Oryctolagus cuniculus: one gene and its partners. The protein of the gene in region 2 purifies or fractionates together with the protein of the main gene of each other region. This does not show direct contact. Links are inferred from orthologs where the notes say so. Each region holds a gene or a part of one and is shown on either strand. Other genes may lie near its edges. The genes, in order: ANKRD46, MGRN1 and MC1R.

What was found.
Region 1: the proteins of MGRN1 (region 2) and ANKRD46 purify together in Homo sapiens (co-immunoprecipitation; 3 studies listed by BioGRID and IntAct, counting the BioPlex papers as one, with this or other methods). This does not show direct contact. The link is inferred for Oryctolagus cuniculus from reciprocal best matches to the Homo sapiens genes MGRN1 and ANKRD46.
Region 3: the proteins of MGRN1 (region 2) and MC1R purify together in Homo sapiens (affinity purification with western blotting; 3 studies listed by BioGRID). This does not show direct contact. The link is inferred for Oryctolagus cuniculus from reciprocal best matches to the Homo sapiens genes MGRN1 and MC1R.

What each region holds. Positions count from the first base shown.
Region 1 is NC_091437.1:126,040,251-126,045,858, forward strand, and holds the start of ANKRD46 (ankyrin repeat domain-containing protein 46), read right to left. Parts: upstream 3,524-5,608; 5' UTR 3,392-3,523; intron 2,766-3,391; 5' UTR 2,708-2,765; intron 1-2,707.
Region 2 is NC_091450.1:30,941,429-30,946,353, forward strand, and holds part of MGRN1 (E3 ubiquitin-protein ligase MGRN1), read right to left. Parts: intron 4,319-4,925; coding exon 4,271-4,318; intron 3,079-4,270; coding exon 3,010-3,078; intron 1,039-3,009; coding exon 879-1,038; intron 1-878. UniProt on the Homo sapiens protein: E3 ubiquitin-protein ligase. Mediates monoubiquitination at multiple sites of TSG101 in the presence of UBE2D1, but not of UBE2G1, nor UBE2H. Plays a role in the regulation of endosome-to-lysosome trafficking.
Region 3 is NC_091449.1:69,457,094-69,462,484, reverse strand, and holds the start of MC1R (melanocyte-stimulating hormone receptor), read right to left. Parts: upstream 3,497-5,391; 5' UTR 1-3,496. Other genes in the region: ribosome quality control complex subunit TCF25, read right to left, coding at 3,754-3,912, 4,246-4,318. UniProt on the Homo sapiens protein: Receptor for MSH (alpha, beta and gamma) and ACTH. The activity of this receptor is mediated by G proteins which activate adenylate cyclase.

The DNA of each region.
Region 1 (5,608 bases), on a different chromosome or scaffold from region 2:
ACTACAGTTATTTCCCTCAGTCGTTGATAAAATAATCCAAGTGTAACTGATAAGTAGCTAAGTTGGAAATAAAGATAATCGGGCCCAGTGCTGTGGCACAGTGGGGTAAGCCTCCGCCTGCAACGCTGGCATCTTGTATGGGCACTGGTTGGAGACCCAGCTGCTCCACTTCCGATCAGCTCTCTGCTATGGCCTGGGAAAGCAGCAGAAGATGGCCCAGGTGCTTGGGCCCCTGCTCCCACGTGGGAGACCTGGAGGAAACTCTGGGCTCCTGGCTTCACCTGGGCCTAGCTCTAGCTGTTGCTGTACTTTTGGGGGTGAACCAACAGATGGAAGAGTTCGCTCTCTGCCTTTCAGGTAAATAAAAAATAAATCTTTATAAAAAAGAAACAAAGATCATATTATGTGGGAATGACTCCAGTGCTTTCAAATATTTCATACAAGAGGAGCAGCGCTGAGACACAGTGGTTTAGGCCACCACCTGTGACACCAGCATTCCATAGCAGAGTGCTAGTTTGAGTCCCAGCTACTGGCTGCTGATCCAGCCCCATGCTGATGTGCCTGGGGAAGCAGTGGATGATGGTCCAAGTTCTTCGGTCTCAGCCACTTAAGTGAGAGACCTGGATGGATGGAGTCTGGTCTGGCTGTTGTGACCATCTGAAGAGTGGACCAGTATGTGAATTTGTCTCTCTGTCTCTCCCTCCCTCTCCATCACTCTGCCTTTCAAATGAATAAATAAATCCTTAAATAAAAAATATATTTATACACATATATTATATATACGAGTAAGTTATGCTAACTCCCTGCAAAGTGCTGTCCATGCATCTCCAAGTCCTCTGCCAGTAGTTACTCTTGAAACCACACCAACCAGGTGTTTTCCCTCATTCTCTCCTCGAAGTGTTCTTGTGAGTACCAATGGCCTTGGTAGCACAGGAGGTTACTTTAATTGTCCTATTTTATGAGCAGTCACTGCTGCTAACCTCTTACTGTGCCTAATTCATAAATTAAATGTCATCATAGGTATTACGGATAGGAAAAACACAGACTCCTGTATGTAGGGTTTGGTTCTGTGTTTTCAAGCATCTACTGGGTACTTGGTACACAGTCCCCAGAGACAAATGGGGGCTGCTGTGCCTCTACCACGACTACCTGTTCTATGTCACCATCATCTCTCACTTGGATCAGTGCACCCACCTCCTAACTGGTCTCCCAGCTTCCATCCTTGCCCTCATAGTCCACTCTGAACAGAGTAGCCTCGGTGATTGTTGAAAAACATCAAGCCAGGGTCCCTCACCCCTCTGAACAACACCCTCCAACCACCTCCTACTACTATACTCAGTGTACAAAGCTCCCTCCCTCCCTCTGCTGCTCCTCCAACAAGACGGGGGATTTCTGGGCTTCTGCACCTGCCCACTGTGTTCTTCCCTGGGAGCTGCCCCGCTGTCCCATGTTCCCTCGGTTCTGCTCAGCGGTGTTCTCCACGGCAAGGTTCCTCAGGTTAGAAGTGTGCCTGTTCCCTCCCGGTACTTCCTGTGCCAGTTCACTCCTCCATCTTTCTTCTTAGTAACTGTCACCATCTGACTGGATATGTTTTGATTGATTTTTTAAAAAAACAAGATTTATATGTTTAGTTGAAAAGTGGAGCAACAGAGAGGGAGGGAGACACACAGAGAGATCTTCCACCAGCTGGTTCACTCCCCAAATGGCCACAATAGCCAGATCTGGGCCAGACTAAAGCCAAGTGTGGAACTCCATCTGGATCCCCCACATGGGTGACAGGGGCCCAGGGACTTGTTCCATCTCCTGTTGCCTTCTCAGGCATATTAGCAGCGAGCTGGATCAGAAGCAGAGCCAAGACTTGAACCAGCACTCAGACATGGGATGATGGCTTTGCAAGCAAGGCTTAACCCACTGTACCAATGCCAGGTGGTGATTCGATTTTTTTTAAAAGTTATTCTGTTTACTGCCCCCACCTCCATCACCTCCAGCGAAATGAGGACGACTCTGTTTGGCTCACTCTTACAATCCCAGTGTTCAGGGCAGCGCCTGGTTACAGAAGGAAGTCAACGTAAATCTGCTATATAAATGCTGACCTATGCAAATAAAGAAATCCTGACAGTACTAAGAGATCTGGGACACTCTAACAGCCAACAATGGGAAATAAAACTTCCATCCTAACAATGATGGAACTCTGCAAATCCTGTACCTCCCACAGTATGTTACTCAATCTACTCTAAATAACAGGCTACCAACTCTCGTCCTTGCTCTTCACCTCACAGCCTCTCCCCACTGCCCTTCCTAAACCCTGAAAATAGCAACTTACTCTCGCTGAAACATCTCCCACCCCCTCTGATGCTGCTATCCTAAGACTGAAAAGGCAGGAGGGAGCTTGTTACAACGGTAAGAAATCACACGGTGTTGGAAAGCCATGTACGCTGTTCACATCCAAACTCATCTCTATTTCGAATCCAACATACCGAGCAGTGAGGGCTATATTAATCTCTATAACCCCTAATGAGGGAAGTTTTATTAGACTCCCGTTAAACTGGGGAGGAGCTGGAACGTGTACAGCCGCAACCATAAACCTTGAAAGACGTCGTTCAGGCTATAAATCACACACACACACACACACACACACAGCCCGGAGAACACGAACACGTGTGCACAGGCAACAGTCGCAAGCAGCCGAGGCTCAGCTCTCACTCACCCTCCGCCAGCCGTCAAGTCTCGGACAAGTTGCACTCTCCTTGCCTCAGTTTCCCTCTCTGCAAAACAGAAACGGCGGCTGAGGGCTGCTGTCGGGATGCAGTAAAGGTCCCCGGGGCTGTCAGTACTGGTGTACACGCTGAGCACCCCTAAACCACAACCCCCTGAGGGTGTGCGAGCAGAGACACGGGGCGCCACAGCCGCAAAACTCCACGCCTGACGCCACGTCCCGCCGCAGTCAAAACGCGGGCACGCCACAAAGACCTTCGGGCTCTGTGCACAGGGGCTGCACGGAACACAAACGCATTGCAGTGCTCAGCCCAGGGTCCCCTCCCCGGGATGCCGCAGCCTGCGTAGCAAATATTCCACACTCCGCACACACTTCTGGCCCCCAGCTCTCCGGATAAGGCACACTCGGCCTGTAATGTTAACACGATCCCCCCCGTCGACCACTACCCCGGGGTGTCAACGCGAACCCGCGCGGGCCGCCTTCCGGCCCGCACCACCACCACTCGGCCGCGCCTCGGCTTCCCCGGCCTCAGCGCAAGGTGCGAGACCCAGGCGCCCGCGCCCCGCAGGCCCCTCTGCCAGGCCCAGGACCCGGGCTCTCCGGGCCTTCGGGGCCAGCCGCGGAGGCAGCAGTGGCTCCTGCCCAGGCGCTGCCCGTGGGGCCCGGCCCAGGTACCTGCGACTCGGACGAGCAACAGCGGCGACAGCGGCAGCACCTTGGCCGTGACGGAGGCCGGCGGAGGAGGGGACCGGCCAGCCACAGAGGCAGGACGAGCCCCCTCCGCTGGACCAGAGCGGCCTCGCGCCGCCGCGGCGGGCGCGCCCCCTGCAGGTGGGAGGCCCGCACAGCCGCTGGGCACTTCCTGGGTCCGAGACACACAGGTGAGCCCTCTCTGTAGGTCGGATTCTGAAAGGAAAGGCGTTGCCTTCCTCCATCTGCGTCCTGGACGTTCTGCACTTTTCACAGCCCTTTCTGGATATGCATCCCAACCCCTCGGCTAAATGGAGGCCTCAAGGGCAAGGACGGTTTTATTAGTTTGCTATTAAGCATCAATTAATCATAGTTGCTCACTGCTACGGTGGAACTACAGAACCCAAGTGACCTCACCTTAACCCATAACCCTGAGTTTTAAATTTTACAAAAATATGGGGTTTTTTTTGAGTGATTTACATTCCGCTTTGTAGGATTCCTTGCCTTTTTGCAACATGTGCTCAAAGCTAACAATGGGGAAGTTCGTTTACTGAGACCTCCCCCCCCCCCCATACCTTTTCTTAGCTTATCAGCTCCCACCCTGCAGCCAGGGTGATGACCCCTGCATGGTAACAGTCTCTCCTCTGGATTCTGGCACCCATCCATTCAAGGGCCATCCACCCAGGCTGAGAGCTTGTTATCGATGATGTCATGTCTATGATTAGGGTTACTGTCAAATCTAAGGAATGCATGACCACATTTCTTCTGTATAACAATTGGGAGATCCCAGGATATTTCACATTTTCTTGTGCAGTAACTAATCAAACATTACTCTTTGGATTGATGACATTTATTAGCCAATTTGTCATTGATGTCTTCCAAAGGATCATGTATTGAGTTTTTATCGCCTCCAAGGATGCATGAAAATTATGTCAAATCAGCAAGGCAATTAAGCCTTGTCCTAGTGTTCACCTGAGGGCCTGTCCACTACTTGTATTCAAGCTCACCTCTCTCATGAATTGCTTCATTTTGTTCAATCTGCAAAATTTAGCTTTTATTCATCTGATGAGATTAAGGGGATGAGCTGCAAGCCAAGCGTGTTCTATGACTCCTTGGCGTCACCACACCTGGGGACTCTGACACATTAGCTGTTAGGAGCCTGCACGGAAGCTCTTCCTAGACTCCAGCAATAACTGACTGCTGCATGACAGTGACCATGAGCTACGTGAGTAGATCCCACTAAATGCAAACCAAAGTATACCCAGTGTATTCCTGTTTGGCCAGAACCCCAAAATGCTTGATCCAGGGAAGAGTACCTTGAGGGGCTGGCACTGTGGCGCAGCGGGTTAATGCCCTGGCCTGAAGTGCTGGCATCCCTATGGGCACCGGTTTGAGACCTGGCTGCTCCACTTCTGATCCAGCTCTCTGCTGTGGCCTGGGAAAGCAGTAGAGGATGGCCCAAGTGCTTGGGCCCCTGCACCCATGTGGGAGACCTGGAAGAAGCTCCTGCTTTTGGCTTAACATAACTCTGGCCATTGTGGCCAAATGGGGGTGAACCAGCGGGTGGAAAAGTCTCTCTCTCTCTCTCTCTCTCTCTCTCTCTCTGCCTCTCCTCTCTCTTTGTAACTCTGACTTTCAAGTAAATAAATAAATCTTAAAAAAAAAAAAGAGTACCTTGAAAAGTCTGAGTAGGAAGAGGCGGCAGTCTCAGTCATTGTAGCTAAAATAGTCTAAGTTTGCAAGATTTACAAAAGCGTATGACCATGGGACATCATCTCCCGAGTCCCTCCTGGGGTCTTAGGAGGCGCCATGCAAGGGAAGCCTCCCTGAGGGTCTTCAGAACATCTCTGGAATACGAACTCCAACTCCAGTGAACTCCAACGCCAGCGAGGTAGCATCTTTTCTCCTCTCTGACATGCCTATGTCCTCGCATCTTCCCTAACTTTGACTTTCCTGCCTCCTTATAAGGACCCTTGTGTTTAAATGGCGCACAAGTCAATCATCTAGAATAATCTCTCCATCTCAAGATCTATGGCTTGATCGCACAACATACAAGTCACCATATTCATAGGTTCTGGGGATTAGGACATGGACATCTTTGGGGGATTATTCTTCAACCTGACAGAAGACTTTTTTTTTTTTTAAGATTTATTTTATTTGGAAGACAGTTACAGAGCGAAGTAGAGACAGAGAAAGAGAGGT
Region 2 (4,925 bases):
TGCAGGCTGAAGTGACCTTAACAAAATGGCCTGCGCAGAGAAGCCACGGGCAGGACCAAGGCTCAGCCCTCGACACAGCTCCTGGACACCCAGCACTTCCCGCCAAGGCCCACCCCAGCCGGCTCCCTGGTCCTCAGCTCCGGCGCCGCAGCCTGTTCCGCAGACGGAGGCCAGCGGGGCTCCACTGCGCTGCCTGCCACCACTCAGGCTCGCCTGGAGCGTCCTGGCCCACTGGCAGCACTCACGCAGCCTCCATGGCCACCTGGCTCACAGGGACAACCACGGTGGCACAGACCCCGCCTCTGCCTCCGCCTAGCTGCAACCTCGGGGAAGCCCTCGGGGTCCAGCAGCAGCAGCAGGCACTCAGCCCACCTCACACACAGCCCACGCCCTGGTTCCAGGGCTCAGCAACCCACCAGATGGAAGCTTCCTCCCTGACCACACCTCGTCCCTCACGGCCAGGACCTAAGTGGGTGTCTCCTCTTCACTGGGGGGCTTGCACCAACAAAGTCCAGCTTCCCTCAAGGGAGAGACGAACGCTCACTCAGAATGGTGCCCAGGGCACCGAGTCCCCGCCAACTTCCTGCCTACCACCCTGTCCTGGTTCCCCTCCCTGCTGTCCTGTGCAGTCAACCGTCACCACGGACTCCTGCCCTGAAGCACCTCTGGGGCGCCTCCCGGAGCCGGAGCACAGGGCAGAGGAGGGCCCAGGGCTCTCGCAAAGCACCCCGACGCCTTGTGCAGCAGGTGAGGGAGCCATGGCCCTTCCTTTCCTTGGGTCACAAGGGACCTGTGGCCCCGGGTCTACCCTGGTCCGGGACTGCGGCGGCGTGGCCGTCACCTCCAGAGCCTTCCGAGGAGCAGGGCCCAGCACTCACGCAGCCGGCAGATGGGGCAGTTGTTGGCCTGGTAGCGCAGCGTGTCGGCGCACGAGGTGCACAGACACAGGTGGCGGCAGGGCAGGATCAGCGTGTCTCGGAGGTCGGACAGGCACACCACACATTCGTTGCTATTGTCACTGTTCTCATCATCCGCGGGCTGCGGGGACAAGGGCCTGTGGGTCAGGGCCGCCCAGGCGGCAGGCCCAGGGAGAGCGGGTCACTGACGGGCAGAACGCCGGGGCCCCTGCAGAGGTAGGGCCGTGCCCTCACCCACCCAAACCTCAGGAACCTGGGGATTGTGTTCCTGGGACCCAAAGAGGAAACGTGGGAGAGACAGACACACTCGGCTAAGGGGCCGTCTTCACAACCTGGCAGCCTAGCGGCCACGCCTGCAACACAGCTTCCAGAGACCACGTCAGCACCTGACGAGCACCGCACCGTCTGAAACAGGAACGCGCACGTGGCGGTCACGCCTGTCTATGACGTGCTGGGACGTGCCGTCTCTGTGAGTCAAGCACCTGTGACGTGCCTGTGTCTGTAACAAGCCTGCCTCTGAGTGACAGCCTGTGATGAGCCTGTCTTTGGGTGATGCATCTGTGTCCGTACCGAGACTGTCTCCCAGTGATGCGCCTGTAACCCACCTGGCTGAGATGCACCTGTGACGCACCTGTGTCTGTAACGAGGCTGTCCCTGAGTGATGTGCCTGTGACACGCCTGTGTTTGTAATGAGGCTGTCTGAGTGACAACCTGCAATATACCTGTCTCCAAGTGATGCGCCTGTAACACACCTGGCTGAGTGATGCACCTGTGACTGTAACGAGCCTGTCTCCAAGGGACAGCCTGTCTGATGTGTCTGTGTGAGACATACTTGTCTTTGTGAGTGATGTGCCTGTCTCTGTGAATGATTATTTCACTGGGCCCAGCCACATCCACTTGCCTCCAAGTTGTCTCGGCTGCGTCTGCATTCTGAGGGCAGTGCCTCCAGAAAGCTGGCTGGCCCCTGACATAAACCCTGGGAGGGGTCAAGGCTCCCTGCTCTCCCGGCTTCTGGCTGGTTCCGGCTGTCCTGGACCCAAATACCACACCACAAACGGTATGAGCCATTCACAGAAATTCTGGTCTACAGCTGTACCACCCGAAACACGCCCGATCTCGTCTCGTCTCGGAAGGTAAGCAGGGTCGGGCACAGGAGGGGGACGTGGAAGAACAGGCAGCGGTTTCCCACGTGCCAGTGTGCCTTAAAATACGATGGAAATGCAACCAGTCTAGGCTGCGCTTCCCCGGCTGCCCTAGACCACGCCCGGCTGTCGGCCACCACGGGCTCCTTCCAGAAAGCCTGTCCCTCCACCAACAACTGCAGGCAGGCAGGGGGAAGCCAGCAGGGCAGCACCGGCTCACAGCCTAAGGTTGCCAGGCCAACCCCACAAGGACCAGGGGCTGTGCCTCTTGCCCAGGCTGCCCTAGATGGGGATGGCTATTTCCAGAAAAAGCCAGTGACAGTGCTGGGAAGAGAACAAAACGTCCTATAAGTGAACTTCCGGAACAGGAATTATCCTGGGGCAAGCCTGCGGCCGGCAGGCACCTGCCGCTAAGGTGCCTGCATCCCAGGTGGAGGTGCCCGGTGACGCCCAGCTCTGGCTCCCGACTCCAGCCCCCGAGCACAGACTCCAGGAGGCAGAGGTGCTGACTCAGGTAACTGGGTTCCCGCCATCCACGTGGGAGACCCGGATAGCACTCGGGCTCCCGGCTTTGGCCCCCTCGGCTCCCAGCCTGAGAGAGAGCTGGAGGACGGGCGCTCTGGCTGCTGTCCATCCATCAAACAAGGAAGTAACTACGTGCTTAAAAGCTAGGTTCCAGGGAAGGCGGGAAGGAGCCCCACCCGTTCACCATCAACCCTGGGTGCCCTGGGCAACCGCAGCAAGTCACACCCCGCAAGTGGCCACCACGGGTGACACCAAGTCTCACACCCCACAAGTGACCACCATGGGTGACAGCAGCAAGCCACACCCCACGAGTAGCCTCCATGGGTGACAGCAGCAAGCCACACCCCTCGAGTGGCCGCCACGGGGCAGGAGGAAGCGCAGGTGCGTGGCCGGCCGAGCCACGGCAGGCGCGTCACAGGACACACCTTGGTCTCCTGGTTGTTCTTGTTCTCGATGCCGTAGATCTCCTGCAGCAGGTAGCTGACCCGGTCCACCTGGAGAGCAGAGAGGAACGCTGGGCCCTCGCCTGCCCCCACGCGAGGATGCCCTCACCCCCCCAACAAGGTGCCAGGCTGAGGTCCCAGGGCAGCTGTGGCTGGGAATTCTGTGGGGCCTGATGCCAGGCAAAGCCTGGGGCAGGAAATCTGCCACGCGCCCAGCCTGCTGACAGCGCAGGAAGCAGGAAGCAGGCCGTGGGCTGGCAGTCCTGCCCCAGACAGCCCTGCGTCAAGCTCTACGTGGATCAGAACCACACTCCGCCCACCAGCCACGCCTCCAGGGAAAGCCCAGAGCCACCGCCGCCAGCCCCACAGGACCTGACGCTGGGAGACACCAGATGGCAGCTGACGCAGCCACAGCTTTCCAGAACCTCCTACAGGAGGCCTGACCACAGCTCTGGTTAAGGGTCCCAGGCGATCTCTCTCCTGGCCTGCCACTCGCTCCCCACCTCATGGCCTCATGCTGACCATGCTCCTAAGTGACCACAGTTGCTAGATCTCCCGTAGTTCAGGGACCAGGGCACCCCAGGGGGCCCGAAGCTTGCTGGGCAGTACCCCTAGACAACACCCAGCCACACGGGCGTCTCCAGCCCCAGGGCATCTTCACAGTCTGCACCTCCCAGAGTTCCCTCCCTTCTTCCCAGGACAGATCTGACCGTGGCTCTGGGACACAGACCCCGGCCAAGGCCTGCTCCCCACTCTACGTTGCCACGGAGCCGCGTGGGAGCCAGCAGCAGGAACGTCCCGGTGTGTGAACAGGCACAGACTGACCCCAAAGCGAAGACGTGCCGAGTCCAGCTCCCATTAGCACCAGGGTTTCTCACCCTCCTCTCGTGAGCTGCAGAGGCCGGTCCAGGCCGCCACCTGCTGCCGGGGTCAGGCTCCCGTCTTCCTCCCATCACCTTCCTTCCTCCCTCTATGCGTTCACTCATCAACTATGTACTGGCTGCTGGCTTCTCGGTACCATGGCTCAACTGGGCAAGACCTGGGGCCTCCAAGAGCCGCTGCTGGCACAGGTGGGCATTCAGCACCCAGTCCCAGGGCGAACAGCCAGAGCTCGGAGCCCCACAGGGAGCTGCAGCAGCTGTCTGGGCAGCACCTTCGGCCCGGCCCTCGCGTGCCAATCCCGCCCCCGGAGGCGCGTGCGGCGTTCTCATCCCAGGGCGAGGCTACTGTGTGTGAGACTTACGATCTGCTTCTGCTTTAGAGGCTTCACGGAGAAGCTGCCGTCCACGTGCTGCAGGCAAAGACACAGACGTTAACTCCCCGTGGGCTCCGCGCCCTCCCGCTCAGCGGGCTGGAGGCTCTTCCCTGCTGGGGAACCTATCCCCTGCTCGGAAAAGGAGGGACACGCAGACCAGACCTGGAGAACCTGCTAGCAGCACAGCCTCTGGCCCTGCCCCGCCCAACAGAAGTCAACTCAAGTTCAAGGCCATTCAGCCAAGTTCAGGCCTCCTGGACACACAGGACAGAGGAAGCCAAAGTTAGCAACAGTCAAGCTCTCGCCCTCAAAGGGCCTGACCGGGCTAGGAAGTCAGCACGGAGTAGAAACAGCAAACACGACACTCTGACACCCATGACCTGAGCAAGCGTGTTCCGTGGGACCCATGGAAACACGGCGCTCAGAACTCAACAGTTAACTACGCCACCAGATCTGAGAACTTGCCACAGTGCTCTGATCCCTTCCGCGGCAACCAGACCAGCACTCCAGGTTTTTGAAGGCTGGTGGGTTCTTACAGAAATTTCCAGAATGGGGGCCGGCGCTGTGGCTCAGTGGGTTAACGCTCTGGCCTGAAGCGCCAGCATCCCATATGGGTGTCGGTTCGAGACCCAGCTGCTCCACT
Region 3 (5,391 bases), on a different chromosome or scaffold from region 2:
GTTGAACACGTGTGCTCCTGCAGGATGACACCAAGGACAGGCACGGGGTGGGCAGAGGTGTGTCAGCCTTGCCTTTGTGCACTTTCCACAGTGGTGGAGGTGGCGCAGCAGAGCCGCAAGGGAGGCCCTGCCACAGCTGCATCCCAGCTTCTGCTCCCGGCTGACCGAGTGGCAGCCAAAAGGTGGCGGAGGGTCCCAGGAGGTGATCGGGAACCAGGGCTGGGGCAGGGGGAGCCGTGTCCTGGGGCCACAACTCCTGGTGCCCGCAGATCCCCCAGCGGTCAGCAGCGCCAGCCCCAGCTTCCTGTGCTGTCACATTTCGGGGATGTGTTTCCAGCTCCGTAAATGAGGCCTTTGAGAAGCAACAGGGTTCACACCAGCCTTCCTCCCCCACTCGCCCAGCCTGGGATTTGAAGAGCGTGGGAACCAGGCAGCCTTTGGCCGAGGTGACCACATCCTTCCTCCTGGCACAACCATGCTGGTGGGCACCAGGGGAGGGTGACCCTGCCATAGGACTCTCGTGCCGAGCTTCTGTCTGTCACCGGAGGGAAGAGACGAAACCGGAAGACCCTAACAGGAGTCACACCGACTTCACCTCCTAGTGCCCCTGGACAATCTGTGAAGCAGGAGGCATGCTGGGCAGTCCCAGCATGGGACAGAGTGCACTGGCCACTCACCATTGTCCACCACCTGAGAGGCCTCTGGACCAGCCCAGATGTCAAGAGCTGAGCAGAGCGGAGCCTCCCCAGTGCTGCTGTGTACCTGCCACACCTCCAGACGTGCAACTGAGCCATGGGGTGTAGCCTCTCTGTGTCCAGCCACAGCTGCAGCCAGTGTGGTGGGGTGGGGGTGCCCGGCTCCTGGTCCTGCTCCCCTCACCAGCCACGCGCCTGCCCACTGGCTCTCCTCAGTGAGCTCCCGCTGCAGCCTATCAGAGCTGGGGCACCACATTTTGGTTGGGGTGCTGTCCATCTTTTTTAAGATTTAATTATTATCATTATTATTATTTATTTATTTATTTACTTGAGAGGCAGAGTTACAGAGGAGGAGACGTCTTACAGCCACTGGTTCACCACCCCCCAAATGGCTGCAATGGCCCGGTTTGGTCCAGGCCAAAACCAGGAGCCAGGAGCTTCTTCCGGGTCTCCCACGTGGATGCAGGGGCCCAAACACTCGGGCCATCTTCCACTGCTTTTCCAGGCACATCAGCAGCAGGGACTTGAACCGGTGTCCACGTGGACTGCCAACACTGCAGGTGAGGCTTAACTTTCTACGCCACAGCATTGGCCCCTACGTATTTATTTTTAACTGTTGTCTTTAACCTTTTTTAGCTTTTATTTTTTTAAAGACTTATTTACTTGAAAGTCAGTCACACAGAGAGGAGGAGAGGCTGAGAGAGAGAGAGAGAGGTCTACCATCTGCTGGTTCACTCCCCAAATGGCTTCAACAGCCAGAGCTGCCGATCTGAAGCCAGGAGCTTCTTCTGAGTCTCCCACGGCTGCAGGTGCCTAAGGACTTGGGTCATCTTCTGCTGCTTTCCCAGGCCACAGCAGAGAGCTGGATCGGAAGTGGAGCAGCCAGGATTGAACCGGAATTCATATGGGATGTTGGCACTGCAGGCGGCGGCCTTACCTGCTACGCCATAGCACCAGCCCCTACTTACTTAATTTCTAATTTTTAAAGTCAAAGCAAGAGAGAGACAAGGAAAGAGAACGATAGTCTACCCACTGGTTCACTCCCTAGATGGCTGCAACGGCCAGGAGCTTCCTCTGGGTCTCTACATGGGTGCAGGGGCCTGAGCTCTTGGGTCATCCTCCACTGCTCTCCCAGGCACACCGGCCCCTAACCCTCTCCTTTGAATCTGGGGGTGGGGATGCTGAACAGGTCTCTGGTCTGCCCCGTATCCCAGCCCCTTGGCACACAGGGGCCTCCCGTGGAAGCTGAGCAGAGTCCAGGGACAGCTGGGACTCAGCACGACCCCTGGCCTGGGTAGCAGATGCAGCCCTTCAAGCTGAAAGATGGGACGTGAGGGCCACAGGTGTCTCCTCCCACTGCCATTAGCAATGTGTCAGCTGCAGGTGACCCCACAGCCCTGGCTCTGTGGGCTCCCGGCCTCTCAGGACAGCAGGCCTGGTCAGTGTCATCTTGGTCTGCTTCAGGCAGGGTGCAGGGAGGCTGATGTGGCTCCAGATGTCACATCTCCACAGGCTGGGGGAGAGGCACAGTGCCACGCCCTCCGACGCTCACTTCCAGAACACGACCTCTCGGCACAGCCCAGCGTCCCAGCTCAAGTTCCTTCCAGGACTCCCCAGCTGCCGGCGAGCAAGATGGGGGCTGTTGCTCACCCACCCGTGTGCTGGCACATGGTCCCCGTCTGGGACAGCCGTCGGGACCCACCCACAGCATGGCTCCTTGCACGTGGTCTCTCAAGGGCACAGCAGGCACCGGACTCCACGCTCTTGCTACAAAGTGGAGCTGCAGGCCCAGATCTGAGACAGGCAGTGGCAGCTTGGCTCCCGGGCTCTCTCTCGCTATCAACACCATGCAGTGAGCTCTTGACATCCCGGGGAGGTCCCGGGGAGGGGGCCGGCACCCCAGGCATCTGGTAGTAAATGTAGGGCACCCCCCCAACCTCTGCTGTACCAGGTGACCCTGCCTCCCCTCCCCTACCAGCCAACACCACCACCTCACAGGAACAACGAAGCACTGTGGGGGCTTCTCGGGGGAGGCCAGCGGGCCAGGCCTTGGGGAGGACCGCGCCGGCCGCCTCTGGCCAGCAGCTCTCACCACCCTGTGGCCGGCATCGTTTCCTCACCCCGCCCTCTCCCTCCTGTGTGGAAGCTGGGGCTGAGCAGGGACAGAACACCTGCCGCACTTCTTCACACCTGCAGGCTCGGATCCTTCCAGGACCAGTCAGGCTTCCAAGCCCTGGGCCAGAGCAACGGCCTCACCTGTGTGACGGCGGCAGCACCGTGGGGCCCTCGGGACCTGGGCACGTGCTGAACAAGTGAGCCAGGCCCTGCCCCGGGCCACACGCTACCGCCAGATCAAGCAACCCTTAATCAAGACACGTCTTCCCCAAACCTGCTCCCTGGGGCCTCCTGCAGGCCTGCACCCTGTACTGCAGCGCCCCTAGAGCCCTGGCTGCCCCGCTTCCTACTCAGCTCCTGCTCACGTGCACTCTGGGAGACAGCAAATGATGGTCCCAGTGCTCAGGCCCCCGACACCCACAGGGGAGACCGAAATGGAGCTCCTGATCCTGGCTTCGGCCTGCCCCAGCTCGGCCCTTGCGGCCATCAGGGGAGTAAGCCCTTCCTTTCAACGCTCCTGTAACTCTGCTTTTCGAACAGAAAGTCAATTTCCAAAACCAAACAAACAAAACCTGCTTTTGGGTTTCCCCTTCATCTGGGCCCCGCCCTGTAGTTTTGCGATAACTCACCCCGTCAGATTGGAGAGACGGTGGCGTTCATCGGCCAGCTAGGTCACACGTGCTGCTCTGCTCTGAAGGGGCCCAGGGACCCTGCCCCAGCAGGGAGCACCCAGGGGGCCCCACACAACCTTGTCCAAGTTCCAGGAGCCCACCCTGGAGGCGGCTGAATGGGTGCGGGCACCGCCCGCCGACACCCGCAGGGAACAGAAGACGCAGGCCGATGATACATCCAGCTTTTCTACTTGCGGGGCCTGGCCAATTCCGACCAGAACAGAAATCAGGAACATAATTGCACAGTGTGGGGCGCAGCACGTGCACACAGCTCAGCCCCACTCCCCCTCCCCCTCGGGGTTGTCCTCTCGCGGTGCCTCCAGGTCGTTGAAGTGGAAGTTGGCCATCATGTCGCGCACAGCCAGCATCAGCCTGTTCAAGCCCTGGTTGCGGTTCAGACCCCCAGCAACTCCTTCATCTGGCCTCTCCCCCTGTGGCAACGAGACACATCTGGGCTGGGACTCGGGAGGTGTGTGCTCCAACGCCCGAGGATGCCCATGCGTTAGCACTGGGCCCCAGACCCTCCCCATGTCCCTGCCAAAGTGAGGGAGCTCTCAGAAACCAAACGAAGGTGCAGAAGCCACGTCAGGCCCAGGGAGCCGGCCCAGCAGCCACGCTGGCCGTGGGGCTCCCGCCTCGACTGCTCAGCAGACTGCACATAGGTCCTTCCCTGCGCCTGCGCTGCCTGCATGGCTGCAGACTCTCACACCCAGGTGGACTTGTCTACCAGCCCGGCAGGGACGGGCCGAGGCCGCTCCACGTACCTCCATGGTGTAATTTGGCAACAGGGACCTGAAGAAGAGGGCGATTGTGTTTCCATGGCTGACAGGACTTAGCCTGCAAGACAAGGGCAAGAAGGGTCACAGGACAAAATCAGTTACTACCTCCGGTTTCCAGCCCCACTCACAACGGCCCTCGTCAGCTGTCTCCCACCCATCTCCCACTGGCAGGGTCAGGAAGCAGCCTTAGGGAGCCCAAGGACACAATGGAGGCCCTATGTCTGCACAGCATAGCAGATGAGGGCCCTGGGGTGGGCAGTGGCTCCCGAACAGCTTGAGGACGTCCCATATGGATGTCGGTTCAAGCCCTGGATGCTCCACTTCCAATCCAGCTCCCTGCTGATGTGCCTGGGACAGCAGTGGAAGACGGCCCAAGTGCTTGGGCCCCTGCACCCATGTGGGAGACCTGGAAGAAGCTCCTGGCTTCGGCCTAGTGCAGCCCTGGCCATTGAGGGCATTTGGGGGGTGAACCAGAGGATGTAAGACCTCTACCTCTACCTCCCTCTCTCCCTCCCCCCCTCCCTCCTTCTCTCTCTTTCTCTGTGTCTCTACCTTTCAAATAAATAAAGGCAAATAAAGAAAAGCTGTAGGTTCACTGTCTCCTCCAGCAGCCTACAGCTACTTATGCGTGGAGACCCCTGCTGGTGAGAGGTGGGGCTGCAGCCTCTCTGCCACACACTGGCGCACACACTGGCGCCCACATCGGGATTACGGGCAGGGCCCACAGAGTGAGGCTGAGCGAGCAGCTGCCACGGGACCACTCCCTCACTGGGACGAGGCCCAGTGCAGCAGAAGGTTCTTTTCATGAACACACGAAGAGTCCATGATTTCCACCCTGACAGAATGGAGAATTCAACAGGAGCTCTTTTCCAGTGCACACAGTCTCCAGTTTTCTGACAGGATGCGGTCTACCCAGTCTACCCAGGTGCCTGCCAAGGTCTGGAGAGCACGCGCTCCCTTCAAAAGGGAAATCTGTCTGCGACTCTTTGAGATGGGCCACTTGGTGTGTGCCGGCCACTATTCCTCAGCTTTAAAGGCCAGAAGGGGCTGGCGTTGTGGCTTAACAGGTTAAGCCGCCACCTGCAGCACCGGCATCCCAAATGTGCACCGGTTCTAGCCCTGGCTGCTCCA